4 linked regions of the Astyanax mexicanus genome follow. The protein of the gene in region 1 binds, or shares a complex with, the protein of each later gene. Links are inferred from orthologs where the notes say so. Each region holds a gene or a part of one and is shown in the gene's direction. Other genes may lie near its edges. The genes, in order: snrnp200, snrpg, eftud2 and snrpd1.

What was found.
Region 2: snrnp200 (region 1) and snrpg share a complex: the UniProt entries of both Homo sapiens proteins name them as parts of the U4/U6-U5 tri-snRNP complex. The link is inferred for Astyanax mexicanus from reciprocal best matches to the Homo sapiens genes SNRNP200 and SNRPG.
Region 3: snrnp200 (region 1) and eftud2 share a complex: the UniProt entries of both Homo sapiens proteins name them as parts of the minor spliceosome. The link is inferred for Astyanax mexicanus from reciprocal best matches to the Homo sapiens genes SNRNP200 and EFTUD2.
Region 4: snrnp200 (region 1) and snrpd1 share a complex: the UniProt entries of both Homo sapiens proteins name them as parts of the U4/U6-U5 tri-snRNP complex. The link is inferred for Astyanax mexicanus from reciprocal best matches to the Homo sapiens genes SNRNP200 and SNRPD1.

What each region holds. Positions count from the first base shown.
Region 1 is NC_064419.1:15,948,749-15,955,775, forward strand, and holds the start of snrnp200 (U5 small nuclear ribonucleoprotein 200 kDa helicase), read left to right. Parts: upstream 1-4,002; 5' UTR 4,003-4,226; coding exon 4,227-4,271; intron 4,272-5,365; coding exon 5,366-5,529; intron 5,530-5,609; coding exon 5,610-5,781; intron 5,782-7,027. UniProt on the Homo sapiens protein: Catalyzes the ATP-dependent unwinding of U4/U6 RNA duplices, an essential step in the assembly of a catalytically active spliceosome. Plays a role in pre-mRNA splicing as a core component of precatalytic, catalytic and postcatalytic spliceosomal complexes.
Region 2 is NC_064420.1:6,264,615-6,272,320, forward strand, and holds the start of snrpg (small nuclear ribonucleoprotein G), read left to right. Parts: upstream 1-4,700; 5' UTR 4,701-5,255; coding exon 5,256-5,287; intron 5,288-6,328; coding exon 6,329-6,351; intron 6,352-7,342; coding exon 7,343-7,467; intron 7,468-7,706. Other genes in the region: si:ch211-148l7.4 (oocyte zinc finger protein XlCOF6), read left to right, coding at 1-1,066. UniProt on the Homo sapiens protein: Plays a role in pre-mRNA splicing as a core component of the spliceosomal U1, U2, U4 and U5 small nuclear ribonucleoproteins (snRNPs), the building blocks of the spliceosome.
Region 3 is NC_064426.1:27,201,519-27,208,876, forward strand, and holds the start of eftud2 (116 kDa U5 small nuclear ribonucleoprotein component), read left to right. Parts: upstream 1-4,347; 5' UTR 4,348-4,492; intron 4,493-5,494; 5' UTR 5,495-5,533; coding exon 5,534-5,635; intron 5,636-5,819; coding exon 5,820-6,003; intron 6,004-6,258; coding exon 6,259-6,337; intron 6,338-7,358. UniProt on the Homo sapiens protein: Required for pre-mRNA splicing as component of the spliceosome, including pre-catalytic, catalytic and post-catalytic spliceosomal complexes. Component of the U5 snRNP and the U4/U6-U5 tri-snRNP complex, a building block of the spliceosome.
Region 4 is NC_064410.1:2,559,701-2,566,526, forward strand, and holds the start of snrpd1 (small nuclear ribonucleoprotein Sm D1), read left to right. Parts: upstream 1-3,801; 5' UTR 3,802-3,947; coding exon 3,948-3,961; intron 3,962-5,057; coding exon 5,058-5,134; intron 5,135-6,434; coding exon 6,435-6,626; intron 6,627-6,826. Other genes in the region: clptm1l (cleft lip and palate transmembrane protein 1-like protein), read right to left, coding at 26-215, 1,237-1,331, 2,273-2,437. UniProt on the Homo sapiens protein: Plays a role in pre-mRNA splicing as a core component of the spliceosomal U1, U2, U4 and U5 small nuclear ribonucleoproteins (snRNPs), the building blocks of the spliceosome.

The sequences.
Region 1 (7,027 bases):
CACTCGGCACATCATCGCGCCGTCCGTTCCGCGAGTCGGCGCCGCTGTCCTTGCGCCATCCGCTCCGTGAGCCAGTGCCGCCGTCCTCGTGCCATCCGCTCTGGGAGTCAGCGCCGCCGTGCTCGCGCCATCCGCTCTGGGAGCCAGCGCCGCCGTGCTCGCGTCGTCCTCTCCCCGGCCACGACCTCCGAACAGCCCGCTGGCGCCGTCAGGTCCGAGTCCACTCCGCTGGAGAGCCTTGCCTCTAGTCCGTTGGTCCGCTGTCTTCCTCCTCAGCCGTTCGATTTCCCCTGCCAGCAGCTCAATATCTTCCAGCAGGGTCACTTCTGACACCAAATGTGGCGTGGAAGAGGAAGGAAGACCCGTGAGACTCATGCTGAATGCTCAACAGCTCCTTTATTGAACCGGCTTGCCACTCACTTACAGTCTTTAACAAGACTAGGAGAGCTAAAACCATAAACACAGAGCTCAAATAGCCAGAAGGCCACCAACCCAGCTGTGTGTCTCCCAGATGGCAGATCCAGAGTGGTGCCCACCCTCTCTGCATAACCCCTCCCAAGGGAGATGCCCCACCCCTGTCATCCTCGCACACAGGAGAACAGAAACATGACTGCAGGCAGCCACACACACAACCCAGAGCTGCCACAATATCCTGCAATTCCCGTGTTGGTGGGAATTTTATATAGGTGCATGCAAGAGGAAGCCTCAGAAATAAAGAGGAAAAAAAATAATGGGATCAAATTGCAAACTTAATGTTGTCTTAATGCATGCAGTTCTTTAAAAGAAGTGGCGCTGAAATAAAAAAATGGAATGACTTCTCAAGCTTAGCTAAAAGAAGGAGGACTGAGCTTAGGAGAGAGAGGTCAAAAAACGGTGGAGGGCAACTGCTGACAGTGCTCCTCACCTTAGAGGAGGAAAGGGTCTAGGGTATACTGGGGCCAACTGTAACAGAAGCAATATCTGGAGGGGTTATCTGCCTAAATAAACTTACAGCCACCTCACCCCAGCCTGCCTCTTCCGTCCTGCCTTCCCCCTGCTCCAGTACTCCCTCCTCTGCAGTGCCCTCACACACAGAGCCATCAATTACAGGAACACGTACAGGGCTCGATCAGAGGGGAACAGAAGGTCCAGTACTTGTAGGTGCAGTCAGGAATTAATTGCACTGGAAAAAAGGAGGCTTCAAAGACCAGGTCCAACTGTGAAACATGAAGACCTTTAGTAGCAGCGCGAAAGACCTGCAGCAGCGTAAGACACACCACAAGGAGCTACTCAGCATAAAGAATACTATGCTTCAAATTTAAGCCAAACAGCTGGAACTGGCTGAGGCTCAGTTTGGCCACCCTTTATTTCCGTGCCAATTTTATTCCCCTCAGCACAAGGTGCTTGTTCAAACACACACACACAAAAACACAAGCTTGATGTTTCTGCATAAGATGACTGTATGTTTCTAACACTAACTTCTAATTATGATCCAGACCCAAGCACAACAGAGGAGCTCCCTGATGTGTGAGACACCTTGTCGTTTATTGTGTGTGTGTATTTTACTTTGATTGTATTGATTCAATTAGCTTTTTTTCTTGTTGGTATAAAAATGCAATAAACAAATAAAAAAAAATAGCCCAACTCAAAAATGTTTTCCAGTGTATTTTAATAAAAACATAATAAAACAAATCTTTTACAAACTTAACTAGGCACATACTTTAAAGATAAATTAACATTCAAGAAAACACATTTTTTATAATTGTATTTAGACCATTCAATCCCTCTGGGTAAAGCTCCTCTCTCCTTTCTCCGGGCAGTTTAATCACACCATCCTCCTCTGTGTCCTCCTCGTCAATGTCCTCTGTATTACATCTTTAGGATGCCCAGAGCATGCTCCAGAACGCTGCGTGTCCTTCACATGTGCCCTGTTAAACCTCTCCTAGGACTCGTTTATGATCAAATATTGTCATCCTCAAGCCTTGAGCATCCATGGGGATGTTTTTCACATACATTCATTTGGCCTACACTAATGCTCATATTGTGTATAGTGTGCAAACTGCCACAATGACTTTCTCCCGAAAGCCTGTTCCACCACACCTCTTCCATGGCTGATGCTGGCATTCCTCTGCAGCTCATCTTCCCTTAGTGCACCATTATCACGTGCAGGAATAATGACAAAAGGAAAGTCATTAGAGATATATGCAGTGTTTTCCAAAAAGGTTATGCCAAAAACTGTTAAAACACAACAGACCTTATTCTCTTTTCACATTGAGTGGGCCATTTAATGTATTTTTTTGCCAGTAAACAGGTCAGTTCCAAAAGCCCCAGGACAAATTTATGAGCCGTTCCTTGGGACACATTGAATTTATCAGCAATTTTCTGAATGAAATTTTGATTTTCCATATACCATAGAAATATTAGAGCCTTCTTAACTACAGGAGCTTGGGCTGGACCTTTTTTAACACAAGAGTTTGCAGTTCTTTAAGTTCTTTAAGATAAAACTGTTTTCTGGCTAACTGTGTATGGCTTTGGAAGGTGTGGGTGTCCATGCTCAGCAGTAGAATCCATTCTGTACCAGTTATGGGATAAAAACATCACTTACCTAATGTGTGTCTTATTCACTTTATTGTTTTAGAGTAGGACAAAATAAACCTTTTTATGATAATGGACCAATAGTATAAACAAAGGAATTTTCCTAATGGCATCCATTTCTACTCGATTCGTAATTATTACCTCCAACTTCGTAAATAATATAATATAATATAATATGATATAATATAATACAATATAATACAATATAATATATACTACATAAATAATACTTATTTGAACCCTTTCTCCCTCAAAATTGTTGGTGTCTGATGTTTAAAGTGCTGAACTACAAGCCAAATCTATTTAAAGAAGTTACTCGTTAAATGTCTCATTCCATCGTTTTTTTAATTAATTTTAAAATGTCTAGTTGTAGGTGTCTAGTTGTAGGTGTTTCTATTTATCCCTGCTTTAGATCACTGAATTAGAGGTCTCTGAAGAAAGACAGGTTTTGGCTCTTGCTCATGAATATTCATACATGCAAATATATAACCTCTGATTGGCTAGCAGCACTGCAGAAGAGAACGCCTACCTGCTCCCACCCCCCCAGTCAATTTTACAGCTCTAACACTCAAAGGACAAAATGTTTTAAGGGGTTTTAATGAATTAAGCAATAAAACATGAGAGGGAGTGCTATAACGTGTAATATTGGCACTGCTTTACTGCGTTCGTAGGCCGAGGACAAGAAAATCTGATCTGTTGTGTTATAAAAACTTAAATTAAAACATTTCCATTGCTGCTCTGTTTGTAGCTGCGCTGTTTGGCTTGTAAGTGCTGCATCATTGCTTTGGTTATGGTGCATTACTGGCTAATAATGTCACTCATAGAAAGCCTCTCTTAGCCAATCACATCAAAGGGTCGGAACTAATTGTGGTATAATTGTCTTTAATTAACGATCAATCTTCAAGTATGAGTTAATAAAGTTCTTAATGTTTTAAAAACTTTTGTAAAATGTAAAAATTTGTTCATTTATACGCTCAAACTTTGTTGTGCTTGTTTTGTAGTATTACTTTTATAGCAATGTTAGGCCAAACATGAATCTGATATAAGAAAAGTAACACATCTAGTTACACAGGTGGTTTATTGTGTCAATAACCAATCAAATTGATTATCTCTGCTGTTCTGTATTAAACAAGGGATTAAAATATAACACTACATACATCTAATGCTTATAACTTTACCGAGTCACATAGGGTTGGTTGACTTTTAATAAAAAGTTGGTGTTTTTTATACACTATATTGGTCCATGTACAGGACCAGCGCATTCAATCCAATCTGTGCAGTTTTTAAAGGAACTTTGGAACTTTGGCGGCACCTGTCGGTTCTTTAGTGGAACTGCGCCTGAAAATAATCCGCATGCGCATTCCCTACTAACCTCCAATCCACCAGGGGGGGTAAAGTTACCATTCCGGAACCACCCGGAAACGGAACTGTTTGCGTGACATGCTGCGCGCGTCGTGCGTGCGTTGTGAGTCTTTTGTGCGGGAGAGCAGAAGCAGCAGAACCCGCAACTTTTCTTCTATACCGTACTGCTATCACCCGGCCCCGCAGCTTCCCGCAGCACCCCGCAGCTCCCCGCAGGCCTGTAGCTGTAGCTGTGTGAGCGGTTAGCCCGGGCTCTGAGGATTAGCCGGGGCTTACACTAGAGCTGCAGGATGGCGGATGTTACAGCGCGTAGTCTGCAGTATGAGTATAAAGCGGTGAGGACAGAAAAATACTACAGCTCCCTTACTCTACTACTCTCATACTGTTCCACTGTAACTGTTTCTCTGTTATTATCATACTCTGTTACACTCTTAATCTCACTGTTCCAGTCACTCGGTTACTCTCATATACTTACTGTTGCAGTTAACGTTACACTCTTACTGTTTCTCTCTTACTCTTATTCTCAAACTCTCTTACTGTTACACTCATACACTTACTGTCTCTGTTACTCTCATACACTTACTGTTACTGTTGCACTCTTACGGCTTCTCTGTTACTCTGTTATTATCATACTCTATTACTGTTACGTTGTTACACTCTAACTTTTACTCTCTTAATCTTACTGTTCCTCTGTTACTCTTATACACTTTCTGTTACAGTTACACCCTTACTGTTTCTCTATTGCCCTGTTGCTCTGTTACACCTTTACTCTATTACACTCATTGTTTCTCTCTCACTCTGTTACTACTGTTACTCTTATTGGTTCTCTCTGTTCTTCTGTTACACTCCTCTGTTTCTCTGTTTCTGTTACACTCTTCCTTTGTTGCTTTTACACAGTTGTTACTTTTACACAGTTAGTATTACTTTTACACTGTTACGGTTACTTTTACATTGTTACGGTTCTTATTTCTCTCTTTTAACGTTACACTGTGACTCTGTTACACTCCTACTCTATTGCTCTGTCACTGTTACACTCACGCTGTTACACTGTTACTGTTTCTCCTTCTTATTTTCTTACTCTGTTTGTTGTTACACTCTGACTCGTTTGTTACACTTGTTTGGCACACATTAATACTGTTACACTTACTCTTTATCTAATGCACTCAGTTACATTCGTACTGTATTACTATGTAACTTTCTTACTGTTACTGTTTTACACTCTTACTCTCACTGTTTCTCTCTTACTCTGCTACACTATGGTTCTGTCTTACACTGTTACTCTAACGCTTACTGTTTCTCTGTTACTCTTTCACTGCTACACTTACTGTTACTCTCTCAATCTGTTACTGTCTCACTCACTTTTACTGTTACTGTGTTACTCTCATACTGTTATTGAGTCTGTATCTCTGTCTCTCTGTTTGTGGTTCAGAACTCGAACTTGGTTTTGCAAGCTGATCGCTCTCTCATTGACCGCACTCGCCGAGATGAACCTACAGGCGAGGTGTTGTCTTTGGTTGGGAAACTGGAAGGGACCAAAATGGGAGACAAGAGTCAACGAACGAAGCCACAAATGTTGGAAGAAAGGAGGGCAAAGTACGTATTCTCCAAATTTGCATTAACATTACGTTTCTTTTGGTATTAGCCTTCTCATTTTTCCCCTCTTTGTGTTGTAGGAGAAGAAAGCGAGATGAAGACAGACATGACATTAACAAAATGAAAGGATTTACCCTGCTGTCAGAAGGAATTGATGAGATGGTGGGTATCGTATACAAGCCAAAGACCAAGGAGACCAGAGAAACGTATGAAATCCTCCTCAGCTTCATTCAGGCTGCTCTTGGAGACCAGGCAAGTTCAGTATTTGTTGTTTATAGTTAAAACTTTTTGAAAGTGTTTAACAGCATCAAAAATATAAGCACTCTGGGGAAAAAAAAATATTCCAACATTATATTATTAGATTAGTATGATTGTAGAATCAGGTCTGTAGTACTGTATTTGGGTTGTGGCTGTGTTCTTTTTAACGTGTTTGCTTAGCTAAGCTTTATTTTGTATTATTCAATACCGCGCTCAACTTAAAAGTGTCATTAACAGACACTGCTCATGTTAGTTTTACTTTGTACTGTGAATCATGTGTAGTTTCGTGCATATTAAATTTACCTGAGTTCTGATTTATTTCGTTATTCCATCCATGTTCTCTGCAGTGTGGCAATCATAGGGCCCTGTTAAGTGCACAGTCACCATTGTGTGTACAATACAAGTACCTAGTTATTAAGATTGTCACACTGCTTTTAGGTTTGTCGCTAGGGATCCTTGTAATGTTCAATTCAGGGCTTGTATGTTTCCTTAAAATCACAAGCTTGATTGAAACCCCACATTTTTTTAAGTAGAGCATTAAACTGAGCTTTTTAACTAAAATTCAGTGTTCTAGTGAAATCTGTTCAGAGTGATGCTAATGGATAGTGCAGCAAGGATGAATCATAGGTCTGCATATCTACACTTTTTTCCAATTTATTATGCAATATTCTCAGGTTTTCCTAAACGGTCAATGCAAATAACAGTCAGTATAGTTTCAAGTCATGACCCGTATTAATCAAATTTTATTGAACAAACCCAATGATGAGCTCTGGTTAGGGGAGACTGAATAGTGGGTTTATGCACCATAGCAAGCCTCTGATGGATTCTACACCTTGAGATTTGCGGGACTCCAGAGGCACCAGCAGCTTCAAATACCTTTTTGCTGGTTTGTAATGGCATTTTAGCAGCTGCTCTCATAATCCGATTAATTTGTCTGGCTGGAGCCTTCTTCATTTTGTCTTTATCTGTACAAACCCGTCTGTGCTCTGAATCAGCCACAAATCTCTTCACAGTACAATGATCATGCTTCAGTTTTTTGTGAAATGTTGAATGGCGTTGCAGTATTTCACACTTTTCAGCAGCAGAGATCTTTTTTCTTTCCTATATTGCTTGAAACCTGTGGCCTGCTTAATAATGTGGAACAGTGCATTTTGAGGTATATTTTTATGGTTTAAAAAATACTGTTTTCATTGGGAGGTTTGTTTAATACATTTGGATTTATACCTAACAGTTCATGATT
Region 2 (7,706 bases), on another chromosome or scaffold:
TGGAAAAGCCTTCAGCCACAAGCAGGAGCTGCTGTACCACCAGCAGGGTGCAGGGTGTCAGCCAGCCCCTTCTACTGTGACTCACATGTCTACAGATGACACACCCACTCCCTCCTATGCTTCAATTCCACCATCGACTTCAGGGATCAATCACAAGCCAGTAACTTGTCCTTCATGCCATAAAACATTCCGCACTGCCCAGGGTCTAAGTTGCCATCAGCGCATTTATCACCAAAACAGTGTAAAAAAGAACAAAAAGAAGGTGACGCAGCATGTCCAAGGTTCTAAAGGCACGTTATTTGCATGTCGATCATGTGACAAGGTTTTCCCTCAGACCTCTATGCTGTACCGGCACAGGAAAGAGGAGCACCGGCGAAAGACTTCCACAAAGAGACAGCAGAGGAGCCACAGGAAGCGACGGCAAAGCAGGCAAAGAGGCGAGACGTACCCGTGCCTGCACTGTGGCAAAGTGTTCCTGCACCATCTCACCCGCTGGGCACACTTCAAGAGCTACAGCAGCCACTATCAGACCCACCTTTCAAACAGCGCCAAATCAGACAAAACTCAAAAAGCCAGCGAAACCTCCAAAGACCTCAAAACAACCAAAGGATCTAAACTAACCTCCAGAGCCTCAAAGAAGTCTAAACCTGTTGATAAGAAGACAAACAAACATGTGAAAAAGTGCTTTGTTTCAAAAAACAGAAGGCAGGAGATCGCAGACAAGGAAGATGCTCGTACTCAGGATAAGGATGAAGATGAGGATGAAGACGAAGATGAAGACGGAGAGTTCCCTTGCCCATCGTGTGAAGAGGTCTTTACGACCAAGTCTGCCCTGCTACACCATGAAGACATCCACCAGTCCACACACACCCCAAACCACTGCAGCGTGTGTACTGGTGGGATTGCTTTACCTCAGATTGCAGGGTCTTCTGTGAATAGAGTCTATCACTGTGTGCCATGTAAGGAGGCATATGTGGACCTGGATACTTTTCTGCAGCACTGCCAAACACACTTTTATTGCAGCAATGATGATGAGAAAGATGATGATGCCCAACTTAGTGATTGAAAAGGCACAAAGTAACATCTAGTCAGAATTAAGGCCCTTTCACACAGAGTACATATTTTTGGATACACATGGAGCTCACATATGCAAATGTGCAAACAGGGCTCATACTCCACAGCTCTTTCTAGCTCTTTCAGATAAATGTCTACTCTTTCTGTTTCACTCACAAGTTCTCATTAGCAAGGGAAGCTGTTGTTCTTTAATGAGGGAAGCTATAGCTCATTAACTAGGGAAGCTGTAGTTTATTACCAAGCATTAGCATCACATATTTCCATTATCTTCTGCCTTTTCATAATTAGCACATTGATCAGAGTATAAAATCAACAGACCTTATATCTGATAGGTCTGCCTGATTTTAACACATCTGACAATGCAGAAATTCCACAACTGTCATATATGTAAACCTTTCTTCTGTTTCTCTGCTCTCTGTCCACTTCTGCTCTCTTCTTCTCCACATAAGTAATCATTATTAAGGGAACATCTAACTCATTAGTGTGGGAAGCTATAGTATAGTAGTGAGGCTAGCTATGCTTCGTTAGTCCAAACATATTGGACTCAGTGTGAAAGGGCTTTTACACCCAGAATACTTGAGTTGTCTTGTTTTTTCCTTTGACATTAAGTTTCGAACAGTTTGTGTTATGTTAAGAGATTGCCAAACAACATTTCTAAATGATGAATGATGAATGTATGCTTTTTTGCTGTGATTTACCAAAGCCACTCATGTTCACTGAATACACAGGCTGAATGTAAAAACTGTACACTGTCGAATAACATGAACGATTTCTTTCTGCTGTTGATAGTTGTTGAATTTGATTAACATAGTTCTGTTGGTGTGGTACTACTAAATTTGAGGATTTTATTGTAGGAGCAATGACTGTATAAAAGCATGGACAGGGCAACATTTGTGAAATATGAAGTCATCATAGGTCTAACACCTCCAGAGATATGGTGCAGCGTAGATCCATCCATCCCTGTACGTTTCAATGACAGAAACAGCCGCGCCAAGGTCTTCCATTAAATTTTCCTCCTCTAAAGACTTTTAGTAGCTGTAGTATCTTCGCTTTGTCTCAGTAGTCAACAGAATGAAACTGAGCTAAGCTCTGGTGCTGTAATGGAAATTGTTTGGTAATAAAATACAAAAGCTTCCCGTTTACCACTGGAATACTACACTTACTGTTTAAACTGGGGTTCTACAAAACCCTTTTTGCTTTTTGTTCTTTAGTCTGTGCTGTGATCTCAATGAAGGCAGTCTGAGATACTTGAGTAGGCGAGTTTGGTCCCACCCCTTGACTCTGGTTGCAAGTTTGACACAATGGAGGATGCTCTTGTCATTATTTATGTAGAATGGAAGGGAATAGCACCACAGTGTCTGTTTTTCTACAGTCATTGTGTAGGACTGCATTTTTTTTTTATCCTTTTCGATTGACAACTTTTTCGTGGTTGATTATATGCTTTTTTATAGCTTTTGTTAGCGATGATCTGTATTTCTGTTTAATAGTTATATCCTGTACATATATAGAACACACGCAAACCTGAAATGTCTTTCACATTGCCGATTTTACCTCTGTGCCTTACCATGCACATCTTAAGTAGTGCCTTGTTTCAGCATGTTCAAGTGCTGTTACAGTGTAGGGCGTTTTCACGCCAAGGTTGGTGTGTTTCTTACATTGTATTCTGTCCATTTAGTTATGTTAGTTGTCTTTCCCGGAGTTGTGCTAAATGCTGCCCCCACTATAAATTGACTTTCTTTCGAGTGCAGGCATGCCATATAGGAGAATGGTTGTAAGAGATTCCCCTCATATTCCATTTATTTCTGTTTATAAAAAAGGGTTAATCTACAGTTATGATACAGGCATCACCAGCATAATCTGTTGTACCCATACTGCGGCATGACATGTCTGGACAAGAAGTCAGATTTTGGCACAACACTTCTTCAATACTTCTTCTTCTGTTGTTTATTGGGTGACGATAGTTTGACTCAACTACCTGTAATTGGTCTGAATGAACTGGACCATGGGTCAGTTGAGCCAGACTAAGTCCACTGCTATTATTTGGGCCAAGTTTAGGTCCTGTGTTCTGGACAGTGGTTTACAGCATCTTTGCAGCAACCTTATGCAGTTAAATTATTGTGGAAAGCATTATATTCCTAAACTCTTCATTTATCATGTTTTCATATCATCGTGAACCCTGAAATTATGGGCAAAAAGAAACTGAATACCTCTTTATATTTACTGCTGTGTCTCATGATGTGATTTTTTTTTTTGGGGTGGATTTGTCCACAGGGATTACGTTACATAAGTATTGTTTGGTTTTGGCTTTTTTTTTTCATTCATTTTTGTTATGGCTGGAGCCAAAAATGTAACATTAATGTACCAAATGTTTGGTTTTCTGTGTATTCTTTTTCCTCATGATAATATAAAACTACAAAAATATATTTCTGAGTAGACCAATAAGTTTCTCTCTCTTTTTTCAGCTTGATTATCCTGGCTGTATTTAACATTACATCTTTAATATAATTTTGTACTTTAGTGTACATAAATACTTTTGTACATTTAGTGTATTTAAAATAGGAATGGAAATTCGGAGTTTACGTCACAATGACCAGGTTTGGGTGGTGATAGACCAAAATACTCTAATCCATTTTTTTTTACATCATTTAACATTACTTTTAAAATTCTGCACAAAAACACTGATTCTTTTTACATAAGGGTGGGACTTTATTCATAAACAGGCGCCATGGTTAGCGTTACAATAAATCCTATTCATATAGTGGTCAGTGGCCTGTCTCCTCATTAATAAGGTCTCTGGTTTTATCGCATAAACCAACTGGAAAAAGGAAGCTCTTTAAGTGTGAGTGGCTATATCTGTTACATTTTGTGCTGATTTTTATTTTATTTTGTTTTACTACAGCTTAAATGATTGACATTTAATATTATTTTTTAAATTTAGTGTTAATACATGCATTATTATTAGCATTGCTATTTCTCATTATCAATATTATTAGATTTTGTGCAAGACCTTTTATAATATTGCAGTAACTTGAAAACAGCATTTTCTATGGTCGGTTTCAGCAAAGGTGCTGTAATTTTTTATTTATTTTTTTGTCACAGTATCTGGTAAGTACAGCTATTTAACAAGTGTGACAGTACATTTGTATTTTGAAAGGTTTGCAAGGAAGACTTTTTGAAGGCTTCAGTAAATTATAAAAGTAGCTGTAGACAGGGGTGTTCCTGTTCTTGAGATGTTTCCAGGGCCTCCCACCCTCATGGCTACAGCATGATTAGATACTTTTTCCCATTGGCAACATGATAACGTCAGATTTCATTGACTTTGTTTAGTCCTTCCAGTATAGATTGTTTGTGTGTTCAGTGTCTGACCATTTTTTTTCAGTAACAAGTAATCTTAAATCATTACAATTTCCAGTCCACTGTTTTATTTTTTTTCTTTCCTTTTTTAAAAAGATATTATAGCATCTGGCTGGATGTGGTGAAAGGATAAATGAGAAAGACGTTTACAGTCAATGCTTTATTGCTGAAACAGTCAGCTGCAACCACACCAAAATAACAACAGGCTAGCGAGCTAACTAGCTAACAGGCTAAAAATAGCACTCGGGCTGAACACACACACACCCTGCGCCCTCTCCACCTCACACACACAGCGAGCCTTCTTTTCTATCCACCCCACACACACACACAGCGAGCCGCCCCCCCCCCCCCCCTTATGCTCTCCCCAATCACACGCTTGTCTTATACCTTAAACACAACAGTTTATTTTTAACAGTCAGTAAATTTTACTACCTATGCAACAGTCTGACCTAAAAGCTTCACACGTCTTAAATTAAAGCTCCACGCACTTAAAATTAAAGCTTTGCGTGGCTACAATTAAACCAGCCTTAGTTTTAGCTGCACAGAGGTTAATTTTTAGCTGTGTAAAGCTATTCATTTCCTGGTTTTACCCCAAAAGTATTTTAATACAGTTTCTAAAGTCCTGGGTTTTCTGCTTCTGTGGGTGAGGCAGTGTGTGGTAATAGCGGCGCCGCTGCAGCAGGGGGCGGTACAGGCCGCAGCCGAAGTCCGGGAGAAGCGTCACCTCCGCTGTGAGGCGCGTGTTTCAGTGTTTTAGCGCAGTTCCGACGCTCATCTCTCCGCCGTTGCTGCTTCTGCTGCTTCTGAACATCCCGCGCTGATTAAACATGAGTAAAGCTCATCCTCCAGAGCTGAAGAAGTGAGTACTAACAGGCGGAATTAGCGCTAGCTGGGATATATCATATATATTTATTTTCAGCATTGGGTTTCTGTAGCTGTGTATTGTAATTAGCGGTCATTTAGCCTGAAGCTAATAGATAAGCTAACCAACCCCGGTAGCAGAGGCTGAGTGTAAACCCCAGTAAAACCATTTGAACTAAAAGATCGGACAATAGAAACACCGCAGCTCTTTACATCCTACTCTAATTAATCTCATACAGTTTAATTAAAGCTTAGATTCGGACCCAATAAACCTAATTAGCTTCAACATACAGCAGAGAACATTGAATTAACGTTTGAATGGATGGAGCTGTTCTACACTCCCAGACACACTACAACCTGTATGAATAGAACACAAACAAATATACAGTACCAGTCAAAAGTTTACAAACATCTCTTCTCATTCAATGGGATTTTTCTTGTTTTTATAATTTTTACATTTTACATTTACTATTGAAGACATTAAAGCTATACAGGAACACACGCAGAATGATTCTGTAAACAAAAAATGTGTTAAATAAAACAGAATATGTGTGCTACTTTAGATTCTTCTAAGTATCACATTTATCTTTGAGGACAGATCTGCATACTCTTTGTATTTTAATCTCAGTGTTTTCATAAGGGAGGAGAATCACCTGGAATAGTTTTTTCAGCGCCTTGAAGCACTTCCTAGAGGTGCTAAACAATAGTTGCTGCTTTTACTGTTTACTATGTGATCCTATATGTGTCCCTTGATTGTTTTCATGGCTTTAGTATTAATCTACAATGTAGAAGATAATCAAAATAAAGATAAACATTGGGAATGATTGTGTCCAAACATTTGACTGGTATTGTACCCATGTATTTAATGTTAATAAATTTCAATACAAACATTAAGTATAACACTATCATTGAATCAACGTAAAACTGAAAAATCAGTTCTGATATCGGTCAGTATTGTTTGAGGGCATCAGAGGTTAAAAATGTTGATTCAGCATAAATGCGCTGTCTGTTATTAAACTCTTTGTTTTCCTTTTTGTAGGTTTATGGACAAGAAGCTGTCATGTGAGTGTCATTTAAGTCACGTTTTTCATTGTTAGGCTGAATCTGAAATTATATATATATATATATATATATATATATATACTTAAATAGATAAAATCCCATTTCTTCTCCACTACACCAAATGTGGAAAAAAATAAATAAATAAAAGTTTTTACACTTTTACGTTTTCAGTTTTTGAATTTAGCCTCAAGCCAGCAGTGTGGGTACAACAGATTACATAAAATAAAGGAATCTGAATGTAATCCTGGAAAAGCAACTTGTAGAACTGACCACAGTCTACAAAACTATCTGTGTAAAGTATAGGGGATAACAGCCCATGTTTGTGATTGTTGTGAATGTTCTTATTATCAAAGACAAAGTTCTTTAGTGTGTTCAGTCACTAAACTGCGTTGTGAAACTAATCAAGACTAACTGGACTAAATGTGCACAGTGTAACAGACAAACCTTGGTGAGGACTCTGAAATGATTGGAACAGTCCATATATTTAAGTTCTTTCACATTTGTCTGCAACTGGTCAGAAAATTAAACTGAAAAACCTTACCCTGACCCACAACAATTGCATTTACCATCCTCAGTAACAAGATTTATTCGTAGGTCAGTCTGGATGCACATATTTTAAACTGTAAAGAGTAACACTATCGTTGCTTATACCACATTCTTTCTATGCATGACCTGAAATCTCCACTTAACCTGCCCCTGTGCCCAAGTTACCATTGTGATGTTTCTAGGTAGAAAATAATCTAATGTTAGGAGACATAATATAGGTTGCATCCAACTAACTTTGATGTGTTTTGTTATTAAGCATATTACATTAATTATTACATTGCTTGTCTAAAGCAGATTTTTATATTGGAAGGATAGTGTTGCCCATACTGCACTGATGTTTTGTATCTTCTGTACACATGATCTATTTACACTATTTTTTAGAATGTTGTATTACTTTTATACATTTTTATAAATATTTCCCTCTTTTCTCTCTTTTCTTGTTTAGTAAAGCTTAATGGTGGTCGGCATGTCCAAGGTATCCTCAGAGGATTTGACCCCTTTATGAATCTGGTGGTGGATGACTGCTTAGAAATGTCCCCAGGGGGACAACAGAACACCATTGGCATGGTGGTAAGTAATCTCTGTCTCGAACACTCTATCTGCTTCTGTTTGCACAACTTGTAAAATCAGGATATCTGTAAATACTTAGTCTTAAAAGGCCTTAAATTTGTTTATCCAAAAAAACAAATCCTTAAATAATTTTCCCAAACGGGTTAAGACGCACTAAATACAATGTTTGTTTTATTTCTCCATTTCACAATTTCCAGATGTGATATTGCAAGTTCACATTTTATTTAAAGCTGTCTAAT
Region 3 (7,358 bases), on another chromosome or scaffold:
TAAACATGAGATGCATGAGGACATGAGATGATATTCCACCCAGTGGAATCATAGATTTATTGGAAGTCCATGTAAATATATGGGCGTTATGAGAATCTCTCTCTCTCTCTCTCTCTCTCTCTCTCTCTCTCTCTCTCTCTGTCTGTCTGTCTGTCTGTCTGTCTACTTGTCAGTCAGTCTGTCTGTCTCTCTCTCTCTCTCTCAAAGTCAAAGTTTCTTAGGTCACCTAGGTCATATAAATGGAGTAAACTACTTGTATTTATAAATTTGCAATATAACTTAATTCATTTTAGATTAAAAATAACACATTTTTTAATTTGTAATAGTGTACTAATGTAGCAAATTCTCATTGTAGGCTGCAAAATTTAGATTTTTTAAATCTGAAGTGGTAAAGCATTTACAAAAGATAGAGGGAGTGCAAGAGAACATAAAAATAATATTACATTATTTTATTTTACAATAATATAAAAAAGAGAACAAATTTGAGCACAACTAACGTAAGACTTACAGTAGAATAACATTACAAATAAAATAAGGGGAAAATAAGGTAAACAAAAAATGTATAAATGTATATAAAACAAAACAGATAAAAACACAGATTTTAAAACATGAGAACAAGAATATATAACAAAAAATCAAAAATAAATATATCGATTAAATAATAAACAAAATGACAACTACTAAATAAAAGTAATAAATACAACAAAAAATAAAATAAAAATAGCTGATTAATAATACAATTTAAAGATCTTCAAAATGATGAGTGAAATCTTTGCTTCATCTTTAATAATTAGTCAGGATGCAAACAACACATTTTTGAACACTAAACATTTTTAGTGTAGCCTACTTTGATGAGATGATCATTTACATAATATTACAAAGGCCATCATTATATAAATGATTGAAAATGTACACATTTGTTGTGCAGTTCTAATGTAAATTAATACACTTCTTCTAATTAGAGTAAAAAGCATATGTGCTCAGTCTCCATTTCTCTACTGATTACTATAATGATAATCCTAAATCATATTGCATAACACTGCTTTTCTCATTCAGTTAGGATCATTCTGTCTTGTCTCCAGGCATAAGAGATAAGCATAGCATCATTGGTAGATACAGCTAACACCCCTTTATTACATACATTATTTATAATAAAAGCATCTGTATGGGTCTTTGGAGTGAAGCCATATGCAGAAAAAACTATTTTCCACAGATTTCAACAGATTTTCAAGTCAGAATCCAGTCAGACTGTTAAATGTCAGGGACATCAGTCATATCAGTCGAGTGATGTTTATTTTATGATGTGAAGCCCTTAGCTTTTAGCAATCTGCTAAGCTATTTATAGTGTTCAGACTGTGTTCACTGACTGAACTTTGAGACAATTAGCTTAAATAACATACTGTGTTTATTACTAAACAATATACCATCAGACATTGCTCATGCTGCCTTGCCATAAGTACACTGGACAGTGTTAAGCCTCAATCACCAGATAAATCCTCACAGTTTATACAGGTGTGGGCATTCTGAAGCCATTCCCTGAGGTAACACTTTCGGCCCTATTTTAGCGATGTATTGGCAAGCCGTCAATTGCACACTGTGCAGCTTAATTTAGGGCTTGTCAATGTGTCTTTGCTATCGTAACGTCGGGAAAAGTATGCCTTCTGCAGCTCAAAATGTGGAAAAGGCATGTGTTAATTGTTTTAATTAATCATGGATCTGTTTTGGGAAAGAAACCAAATAGCATGACCCGAACTCTTGCATGGCAAGCATTTTTTATGTCTCTTTTATTCGGGTTAATTGGCACCAGATTAGTGCAAAAACAGAGAATTATCTTTGCATGATGGAGTTTCTGGAAAAAATAAAAAATAAAAGATGTCCACATATGAGGACTTTAGTTTTATATTTGGATAGAACACAATGTTGCACTTAGTAATGATGTGCAAAACATTTATTTTGTGCCCAGAAGTGCAAAACCAAAGTAGAATCAATTGTGCCTCTTTGAGCAGTATGGCTCATTTAAAGTGCTGCTTCAACACAAAGACATAAAGTAAAAATCATAACATTTACTGTATTTACTGTTCATTTTCAATTTCTGAACAATATCACAACTGTAACGTGTTAAACTCTTCTGCCACCACTAGGAGGAGTATAATGGTCTCAAAAGAGGAAAGCAGGCCCTTGTAGAGTAAAATTTAGTGTTGTGGTCTAGACAACCCAATATGTGATGTCCACACATGCAAATGTCAGGTCCTAGGAGGTAAAATATGTTAAAATGATGGAATTCTTTGCCTATAAGGCAATGTCTTAAACCCGTCTTTCTGTTTGTACGTCCATGTCTCTGTCTGTCTGTCTTTCACTGCCACTGTCTGTCCCTGTCAGTGTTTCTCTATCAGTCTGTTGCCTGACTGACAGTTTTCCGGTCTTATCTTCAGGCTTTTCTCAGTTTTGATCTGGTGTTAATTAAATATGTTAATTCAGACGTCCATTGAAAGCCTTTATATACATGAACAAGCATCTGAAATAGTCTGAAGCCTGTTTTTTGATGTCTCTCCTTCAACCTCCCACCAACCTCACTTCCAACAGCAACACACACACACACACACACACACACTCTTTAAAGATCAAATTCATTTTTTTCTCTCTGAAGACGGGTGACTTTAAAGTTTATTGATTTTGGGGTAAAATAAAAAATGAAATCTGCCTGCATTGCTCTTCAAAAGATTCTCCATGTCGTCATTCCAAAAACCTCAGGTCAGGTCATGCCTGTGTGCTGCATGTAGGCCTGTATTTCTGCGGCTATTTTTAGATGTATTCAATTTACTAGGTATGTGTTAGGCTGAACTCTCCATTCATTTTAAATGAATGGCCTCAAAGAAATGCCTACAATGTTTTATAGGTCTGTTTTGCTGACCCATATTATAAATAGAGAATATACAATAATAGAATCAGTTATTACAGAACAGTGTGTTACAGGGGTGATACAGATTCACTGTAGACACTGCATAAAAAAACATTATTTTTTCCCACTTGAAAAATCACTTGTTGTTGAAAAAGCACTTTACAGCATGTGCTTAAAATACACGAGTATCCAGTAGGTGACAATTGGGTAAATAAGAGTGAGTTAAGTGTGTTAAAGTGTCTGAAGTGGAGCCAGTGTCAAAATGTAGCCGACCATTTACAGTAAACGCTTTCATGTTCATATTTATGTGCCTGCCCATGTGGAGGGCATTGGTGTTAGCCATTATTTTATCAAATAAAAGTGTTTTAAACACTTGCCAAAGAGTATCCAAATGGTGGAATTTCATTTAATCAATGTGAAATACAGGTACAGATTTAGAGTTGATATTCCACAGACTTGTTTACTAGGCAGAATATTATTTCAGTAATTAGCACTCCAGGGTTAGCATGCTGCTAACTGCACTTTGTAACTCTTGCGAGAACTGTAAAATGCTGTAACCTGAGACATTTTAGCTTAAAAACGTGTAATATTACTCCAACGCCTCAGTCCACATGCTATTTTCACTTTAGAGGCTAGTTCTGTTTCTTTCACCTTGTCAACAAATGCATATTTAAAGCACAAAAAACTGCATTAACAGCATCGAGAAAAACCTGAAATACACTCCTTACCTGTAGGCGGAGCCAAGATCCACACAAAAAAATAAGATAAAACATAAGATAAAATTATTCATTAAAATAAGTATTAGTAAAAGAAAAAAAAGCTAAAAGCTGTAAATAAAAACCAGGGTTATTCCACCAAATATTGATTTCTGGACTCTTAAAACTTGACTGAATATGAACTTGCTTTCTTTGCATTATTTGTGGTCTGAAAGCTCTGTCTCTTATTTGTTATTTCAGCTATTTCTCATTTTCTGCAAATAAATGCTCTAATGCTCTTTATTTGGAATTTGGGAGAAATGTTGTCCGTAGTTTATAGAATAAAACAACAGTGTTCACTTTACTCAAACATATACCTATAAATAGCACAATCAGAGAAACTGATTCAGAAACTGAAGTGGTCTCTTAATATTTTCCAGAGCTGTATATCGGGGCTGGTGTAATGGTGTGTAAGGGCGCCTTCTTCAGGCCTCTTAAGTTACTGCAATGTAATATTTTAGCTTTGCATTCTGTTTTTTGCCTCTTTTTGCCTGATTCTGTGTAAGCGGCTAGAAACGCTTAAACACTTAAACCCTTTACCTTGGTGTAAACCGCACAGTATGACCGTATAATCGTGTTGTTTCTTTATATCCACGGCTGTGTTTAATGTTTAGAAAACCGCTGCACGAATAAACATGTGCTGTATTTGAATTCAGGCACATTACGGGATACCTGTATTCGCCGCGACGTCAGTAACGTTCGCCTTACGTTTCGGTTGTGCGAGGACCCGGCGGTGTGCAGCCTGGTAACAGTGCGAGGGAAAAATAAATAAATCAGTGAACAAATAAAGCGGATTGTACTGTTTCCGGAGTGAAACAGAGGCTTCGGTTAATCGCAGGTAAAGTCTATGCTGTCCGTTTGAGATCTGAGTGTGAATTTGAGCGTAATCAAGTGGAGAAGCTTTAGATGATCTGATATTAAACCCGAACCCATTCATTCACATGGGCTGAGCCTGAGCACGAGCTGCGTTACCTGGATTTAACGGTGTAGATAGACCGGTCAAATTCGAGCAGAGCCTCGTACATACAGTTTTTTTTATAAGCCGGTTAAATTGAGGGAGGTTTGGGTATTTTTTTAAACTAGCTAGGCTAGCTGAGCGTTGTTTGCTTGCTATAGCTAAGTTAGCTTAGCTTAGCTGAAGGCTGTGTTCCCATTGGCGCCCTTGTGTTGTGTTTACTAGTAAATTAGGCTGCTAAATAGCCCAGAAGTTTAACACTGGTTCGTGTGTTTTATACAAAGACAGGGTGGTGACGATGCAAGTCGCAGAAATTATGGGATGCACGAAATCCCTAATGCTGTCCATACACTACACGACTTTGAAAAGACTCTGAAAAGACTTTTAACAGACTGAAGTCTGACACCCTCTCGCACATACATACATGCATACATGATGTGTTTTGCTACAACCTTGTATTGTAAAGAATCATAGTTTCACTGCTATACATTTGCCTTTGTTTTAGATTAAAATTAGATTGAAATTGTGAAATTGCTTGAAAATCATTAGGTGTAAGGTGGTAGGATTAGTTCTAATTCTGATATTATCTTGTAGCTTGATGATCCTTGCCTTCTTTTTTTCCCTTCTCAGTTCAAAGGTTGTTTTCACTTAGAATGCTGCTTTTTGTAACTCATTTAATTAAATGCATTCATTTCTATGATTTGATGTGTATTAGCCTTGTTAGGCTAACTATATTTGAAATAAGCTTCTGGATCCAAGCTGAAAGGATTTTATACTTGATTTCAAGTATAAAAGTAGAACAATAAAACCAAAGTGTTTATTGTAGCTGGTAATCTGCACACTAAGAGTATTCATTTAATCTCTCTCTTTCAATATTGCTGCCAGAGGTGCTGTTGACACCCCATCGCACAAGGCCGCAACATCATGGAGACGGATCTGTATGATGAGTTTGGTAACTACATCGGGCCAGAGCTGGACTCTGATGAAGATGAAGATGTAGATGCAGAAGACCGGGATGCAGATGAGGTAAACAGCTCAAATAAACTTTGTGCGTAATAATCTATTTACAGGGCTGTTTATCTGTGTATTTGTTGCTTTTAATATTTTAGCACACATCGAGTTTGATTTGAGTTTGAGTTGCTTTCTGTTCCAACTTGGTATTTCCTTTATTTTGGCAATGTGTGTATAATTTAATGTGTGGTTTCTGCAGGCAGATGAAGATGACGATGATGATGACCAGGTGGAGGGGGATGAAGATGGTGGTGGTGGTGGTGGTGGTGGTGGGATGGAGGTGGTGCTTCACGAGGATAAAAAGTACTACCCTACTGCAGAAGAAGTGTACGGGCCGGAGGTAGAGACTATAGTCCAGGAAGAGGACACCCAGCCTCTCACTGGTAAAGGACTTTTTTTTTTTTTTTTTTTTTTTTTTTTTTTTCTATATGAGGTTCATTTTTTTACTTTCTTTTAAAATGTTCTGACATCAGCAAATAAAAAAAAATGTGATTGTAATGTGATGTGTTGTGTAGAATTTGTATTTAAAACAGTAAAACCTTAGTTATAAAAATTGTAGTCACTGATGCTGCATCTAAAACTGTTCTCCCTCTTACTTTCCCTCTCTGTCTGTCTGTTTCTTTCTCCTTCTCACATAGAGCCTATTATTAAACCTGTGAAAACAAAGCAGTTCACTCTTATGGAGCAGGAGTTGCCAGCTACAGTTTATGACATGGAGTAAGTCTTTGTTGCAGTCACACTTATTTAGTATTGGGGCATCTGCTCATTCATTGTGTCTTCTAAAATCAAGGGTATGAATCAAGTATTAGTCAAGTACAGGATATTTTCCAGAGAATAGTTAAAGGTTATATATATATATAATATGTGAATTACATATGTAATATTTATATCTCACATTTTTAGTCTATTTTAATATACCTTTTCACTGAATATATGATACATTGTTACAATGTAAAGTAGTTTGTAGTGCTGGAAAATGAAAACTGATATGGACTTTTTACATACCACCATACCGCTAGAGGCATTATGGAGCTGTGTAGAATAGCACCGCCAAAGAAACAGATACAGCTTGTTAGCTAAAGATAGCCAGTTAGCTTCACAATCTAACGCACTGGTGCGATGGTAGGTCTGCCCTGTGAAGTCAAACTTTATCTAAGGAGCTCCTGTTGCTGTTCGTTGCAATATGAGTGTTTCTATCTAAGTAAAATAGAAAAACAACATCAAAAAGCAATTATTCACTCAGAAGAAAGACAAATGGAGTTACACAATCAATTCACATCTTGTGAAAAAGTTCCTCTCATTGCCCAGAAAAGCCTAAAAACAGTCCTGAATGCAGAATCATTTATTCAGCACAAGTGTTAAAACTCCCTAAAATTCTGAATACGAGGTGCAAAAAAAGAAAAGAAAAAAACAGTGATATACCTTCAAACTCGCAGAGCTCCTCCATGGCATCACTTCAGAGCTGGGGGATGTTGGAGACCTTGCGCTCCTTCACCTTCCACCTTCTTGGCCAGTCGAGCATTTTTACCCTCAGTTTCTTTGATACCTTGTATCAAAGTGTCATATCATTCCCATGAAAAGATATAATTAGGTATTTACAAAAATAAGGGGGGTGTTCTCACTTGTTGCAATTTAGGTCAATAAGAGTCTGGTCAGGGTTGAGTGAAAGCTGAATGAAACATAGTACAGAGATTAATGAAAACCTGATCCAAAGTGCTCTGGACCTCTGACTGGGCTG
Region 4 (6,826 bases), on another chromosome or scaffold:
TAGTTATAAAGAAATAAACTCTGACCTGAGCCTCGTCCTCGCCTGTGATCAGGCTGACCTCAGGGGGTTTGGGTAGCATGTAGGCGGTGAGTTGGGTCACCATGTGCACTTGGCGGGGATCCTGCCACGGCGACATTCCTGCCTGGTGCACGAACACCATGGCGTACAGAGTTCCATTCTTACGTGTCTTCTTGGGCAAAGACACATTTACTAACCTTTAGTGGAAAAAAGATAGAAAGAAGAGAATGCCTTAAATTAATCTAACATTTAATATTATTAATAAAATTCACAACTTCATATCCATTCCAAATTTTTTCCAGCATGTATTTAGCAAATACATAGTCAAATCATTTAATTATCTGAAATTGGTCTACAGCAATAAGGCAATAAAAAGAAAATACAAACCACTAAAATAGCCAAGAGTGCCAATGCTACAGAGTAAATTGTCACTGTCCAATAAAAACAAGCATCTCCAAAACAGCATTTTATCAGGAGAGAGATATAACCTTCTTGACTTTCAATTAAAGTCAATGTAAAAAAAAAAATGTAAAAAAAATAAAATTTCAGGTCAATTTCAGGTCATTCCAGAGAACTTCTATTGGTCCATTCATTAAGAATTTTTTACATACTGTAAAAGCGTCAGTTTGCGTGTTTTTAAATTACAGTATGTAATAAATCGAAAAAAATATTTTTTTAGGTACATGTTTTTGACAGCGATGATATACTATAAATAAATCTGCAGTGTAGGTTTGGCAGGGTAGTACACAAAACTGTATTTATTAAATATTTATTAAGGATATTTGTGTATAATCAGCTTATATCACACTTTAATATATGCTACATTCTTCATACTAAAAAACTATTTAGTAGTAGGAACTGGAATAAAGGTAGGACATACCCACAGCCTTTTTGAAATACCATTATTTTTCACACTATGAGGCCACTCTGCTGAAGTACAGCTGAAGTTTCTCCAGAAGTTTCACCAGCACCAAGGCTGGAGCAGTATTAGCATTAGCCGCTAACCTCAAAAGCTCCTTCAATCTATAAATATGAAATATGATCCTCAGAAGTGAGTTGTTTAAGTCTTTAAACTGGAACATCTTGCTCTATATTAGGGATTAGGGGTGTTAAAACCTGTCCACATTGGCTTTGTGTGGCCAATGTATACAACAGAGTAAGTATATCCAATGTATTTGGTGAATCCCCACTACTAACTAAATGACTACAGAACTTTACCTCTCAAATCTGGTGTTCACATCAAAATCCTCCTCTCTGTGGATCAGACTGTGGCCACCTTCAGTGTTGGGTCGTAATGCTGTGTAGATGCTTAGCTGTGGTGAAGATAACAATGAAAAATATATTTTTTTAAAATGACAAGACAGACTTTATACACAGTTGGTTTGAAGAGATAGCCTCAGCAACATCTCAGGGCCTATGGAATTAATGTTTAAGCAATAATACAATAATAGGAGTGGGAGTGCTATAACTTGTAATTACAGCAGTGCTAATATAACATGTTATAGCACTAACCTCAAGCGTATTGTTGAGATTATACTACAGTTTCATTACCACTGTTTATTAAAATATTTCGAGTTAAAGAGGAAGAGAAAATACGATATGTTTGGTTATAAACACTCTGCAAGTAAAAATAGTTCCATTGCTGCTCTGTTTGTAGCTGCGCAGTTTAGCTTGTAAGCGCTGCATCGTTGCTAGGTTAGCTGTATGTGGTGGAGTAATTCATGGAGAGCTTCGGTTAGTTACAGTGCATTACCGGCTGATAACGGCACTCATAGAACACCTACCTCTCAGCCAATCACATTGCAGGGTTGGAACTAACTTCTACCTCTGTAGCACCTTCACAGTTTTGAACTGTGATACAGGCGTGGATGATGTTTCCGTGTACTTTGGTAGGTGGACACTTACAATATGCAGATCAGTCAATCAATAATAGCGCCCCCCTGCTGACACCAATCATCTGCATCTTACCGCTATCAGAGGCACAATGCCGATGCTGCAGCTCAGCCAATCAGCTCCCGCTCCTGCTCTCCCACCCCTAAACCCATACATCACCCAGTGCCCCTCCCAAACTAACTAACCCCTCCCATTTTTTTGTTTAGCATTTGTTCAAATTCGAGCTGAGGGTGGGGTTTAGTGCCACTTTCAAGAACCACTGATCTGAAACCCTAAAAAACTGAATTAGTGAACACAGTTATCTAAAAATTAACACACACACACACACACACACACACACACACACACACACACTGCTCACCTGCAGACGAGGCTTTCCCGCCAGGTAAGGGCTGATGCACTTGTCACTCTTGGGGTTGTCGCAGGGTTTGGTGTAAACTATGCCATACATCACCCAGCAGGTGTGCAGCACGTAGACGATGAAGACCCCCACTATGAGGGTGGTGAAGGAGGTCTTCTGGAACATGCTGCTTTAGCAGTTCCTCAACTAAAAGCTACACACACACACACACACACACTCACACCGCTAACATGCTAACCCGCTCTCAGCACAGCCCGCTCTCATATCTCAGCTCCTCTCCTCCTCCAGGTGAGGCAGGTGAGGCAGGTGAGGCTGTAGATCCTCAGTAATCCAGGTTTCTGAGCTCAGACTCAGTTTTAGGTCAGATTATAGTGTTTCATCATAAGCGAGCTCTGACTCTTCCTTCCGCCACTGAGCTCCTGGGTTGTGGGTTGCCAGATTGGTTGCTTTCAAGCTTAATTAAAAAAAGCGAGTATGGGCAGATTGCAGGTTGCAACAAGGTAAGCAAACCATTCAATTGACTAGTGCTAGAGTTATATTTTTCATATAAAAGCTTTATAGATCCAAAGGACCCAAAAGACCTAGGATAGAATTTCGCCAAACATTGAACGGGACAACAAAATACTTTATTATCACAATCAACATTGTTGTTTAGAAACAATGGAACAGTAACAAAACAAAGTTTGCCTTAACATTTAAAAATTAAAAATATATATATTTTTGAGGTAGAAAAGGAGAAACCACAATACAAAAATAAAATATAATTTTCACCTCAATAGACATCTTTTCTAGTTAATTCTTTCTTTGTTTCTTTTTTTCAAATAGAATAAAACAATACAAAAATAAGGAATTTTCTTCGCTACTGTACTTTTTTCGTCGCTAGACAGTCAGTGCATGCAGAAAAGAAAAAAAAGATTGGGTATCGATCTTTTTACATGAGCATTGCTCAATACCAATACCAGCGTTGGTATCGATAGTATCAATATTTGGATCAATCCGCCCACCTCTAACTAGGGCCCCAAGCTGGCCTGGGGCCCGCAGAAATGACAGGCTAAGAAAATGTGTGAGCTGTTAACGAAAATACGATCTTAAAATGTTTTAAATAGTTCAATTGCTGCTCTGTTTGTAGCTGTGCTGTTTAGTTTGTAAGCGCTGCATCTTTGGTTGCCTACCTGTATGTAAAAGTAATACATTGAGAGCTTCGGTTACAGTGCATTACTGGCTGATAACAGCACTCATAGAACGCCTCTCAGCCAATCACATTGCAGGGTCGGAACTAACTGTGGTATAATTTACACAAATTCTGCATGTGAAACTGTATCACTTCATCAGCCTTAAGCAATTATACCTCATATTACAATTGTACTATTGTCTTGTGTCTTACGTATGTCTATACTATTAAATTTACAATTAAAAATGCGTATTTAGTTATTAACAGTACATAGTTTAATGCATGTGTTAAAACGTACTAAAAAAAATAAATGGGGTTCAACGAGGGGATTTATGTGTAGATCTGGCAACTGTAACCTGTGACGTAGACCATGAATGGAGTTCTTCCGTGCTGCGCCGGATGTAGTCATCTGTGTTTCAGTAGCGTTTCGATAACGTTCGTTTATTAGCGCTACAATTTTTTCTCTCTCCGGCGGAGGATTTCTTTACCGAATCCACCGCTAACATGAAACTCGTCAGGTAGGCGGATTGTAGACGGTTTATTTTACGGTGTTCAGTTGTTAGATGTTGTAAATTATCCCCTGTTTGATGGATGGGGCTGGATTGTTTGTGGAAGCTAACAGGCTAAATGAGCTGCAGCGGGGCTGAGAGGCGGGAACCGGGAGTTAGTCAATGAATGAATGGGTGGATAAAAAGAGAGTTTATCTCATAAACGGAGCTATAAATGCCGTTTTAAACTAAACTCGCTCTTTGCTGGGGTGTAATTTGTCTAAATTAAGCTAGATAAAGTGAACTAAACTGTTTATACTGTGCCCCAAACTGCTAGCTAGCTAGTTTGCTAACCTAGCTTAGCTAACCTACTCAAACAGGCTGACTTTGGCTGTTTGTTAAATGTAAGTAATATAAATTTTAATACAGGGTTTAGTATCTTAAAATTATTGTATTTGGCTTCTAATCTACGTTACGTGGTTGTTTATAACCTGTGTATCCAGTTTAAGGAGAAGCTGTAGCTGCCCTTTATGTGAATTATCCGTTCCACCTTAAATTGTGCAGTAGTTACATGCTAGTCTTGCAGTTGTTAAGGTGGAATTGATAATTCACATAAAGGGCAACTACACTTACACTGCTGCAGGGCTTACACATCTACTGCACAAAATTTTAAGGTAGAACCGACAATTCCAACATGAAGGCAAGTTTAGCTTTGTAGTGAAGGTGTAGCTGCTTCTTATGTTGTAATTGTCTGTTCCACCTTAAGTCGTGCATGCAGGTCAGGAGCTGTTCGTGTGTTTGGCTATTTGTTAAATGTTAATGTTAAATACAGTTATTAGTAACTTAAAATGAGTGTATTTGGCTTTTAATCTGCGATACGTGGTTGTTTATAGCCTGTGTATTGTTGTGAAGTAGTTACGTGCAAGTCCTGCAGCAGTTAAGGTGGAACGGACGATTCACATAAAGGGCATGTAACGTAGACCTTAACTGCTGCAGGGCTTCTATGTGACTATTGCACAATTTAAGGTGGTACTGATAATTCTAACATAAAGGCAACTGTGTGTGTGTTACAGAGCCACTATATGATTTATGTCTCATTTTAAGTGTGTTATGTTCTTTTCTGCAGGTTTTTGATGAAACTGAGCCATGAAACTGTTACCATTGAGTTGAAGAATGGCACCCAAGTCCATGGCACAATCACAGGTGAGGATGTGGTGTTTTTATATTTTGATGCATTAGTCTTTTAGTAGGCTGAAGTAGAGCTTCACAATACATTTCTTAATTTTGGTTGATGCAATATAATGCTTATCAATACGAATAAAAAGAATAAAACCTTAAAACTGTGCCTTTAAATTTCGTTTCAGTGTATTATTTACACTTTTATTTGTGCCACAATGATGCAGATGATAAAAATGCTTTGTTCTGTGTACTTATGTCAGGAGTGTGCCGTCTTCTCTGCATATAAGCTGGCTTCTACACATCCAGCAGCACACCTGATTCCACTTGTTGAATCAGCTGGTCAGTCTTCAGGCAGTTGATGGCTTAAATTAAAACCTTCAGCCACACTGATCCTTTTTGTGTGAAGACCTTTTAATAAAGAGTCAGATTTTTAAATACCAAAATGTGCAATATTATTATTTTTTAATCAGAGCCTGATTGATCATATGTGCTGTATGGGTATGTTAAAGGCATACTGGCCGATCGAAGCACAGTTGTCATGGTTGCAGATCAAACAAATGCACAAAGATGGCAGCTCAGTTTGTTCAGAGCTGGGCACAGAAGCTTATGACTGACAACACTTTGATTTATTATAAGAATACGTTGATGGAAATATATAGTGGGCAATGAGCACTATATATATATATATATATATTTAATATTGTGTAGGTGTGTTCTCTTTTAAGAATGAGAAGGAAAACAATTAAAGTATGAAAAAAGTATAGAGTAGAACGTGGAAAGGAGCTGTGGAATTTCTGCATCAGTTCAGAGCACAGAAGGCAAAAATTCTGTTAGATTTGGTGTAAAGTTTCTACTATGTTAAATCTCTTTTTTTTTTTTTTATCTGATAATCATACTTTTTCATACTTTATGTAAAAGATTGAATCCTGTTCAGGGACCAAAAAAATGTGTTTGCAAACATTTAATCATGTTTTTTTTTTTTCTATTTTGTGCTCTGGGTTTTATACATTGTATACATTAAATCAAAACTGTGTGTATAATTCAGGTCAAAAATCCACCCTTTTTAGTAAGCTTTTAGTAGTTTTTTTTTTTTTTTGTGAAGCCCTATTTAACCCTTTGTATTGTGGCTATTTAGTGGGGCATCATCATGGCTCTTGTAAAGTCTAAATCAGTTAGCAAAACACAGAACAATGAGCTATATACTGTTTAATGTCCGTATGTAATGGTAAATTTTAAGGCTTTAAAACAGGACCCTATTGAACTGGAGAAGTATCTGTCTGCCTGATAGACAAACTGACTTGTCATTTTCCCTCTTTTTATTCAGGAGTGGATGTCAGTATGAACACCCACCTAAAAGCTGTGAAGATGACCCTGAAAAACAGAGAGCCCACCCAGCTGGAGTCGCTGAGCATCCGCGGAAACAACATCCGCTACTTCATCCTTCCAGATAGTCTTCCTCTTGATACGCTGCTGGTGGACATAGAGCCCAAAGTCAAGTCAAAGAAGAGGGAAGCTGGTAAGTGCAGCACTGTGTGTAAGGGGGAGTTTAGTTATGTACAGTGTAAGAGTGTACTGCTTCTGAAATGGTCAAGAAATATCTTTGTATGAAGATGTTTCCTCTCCCTGCTGAATCATTACCTTATTTAATATTTTTTAAAATATTTTTATAAATAACCATTTTCAATACAAATATTATTTCTGTTACTTTAGACAAAT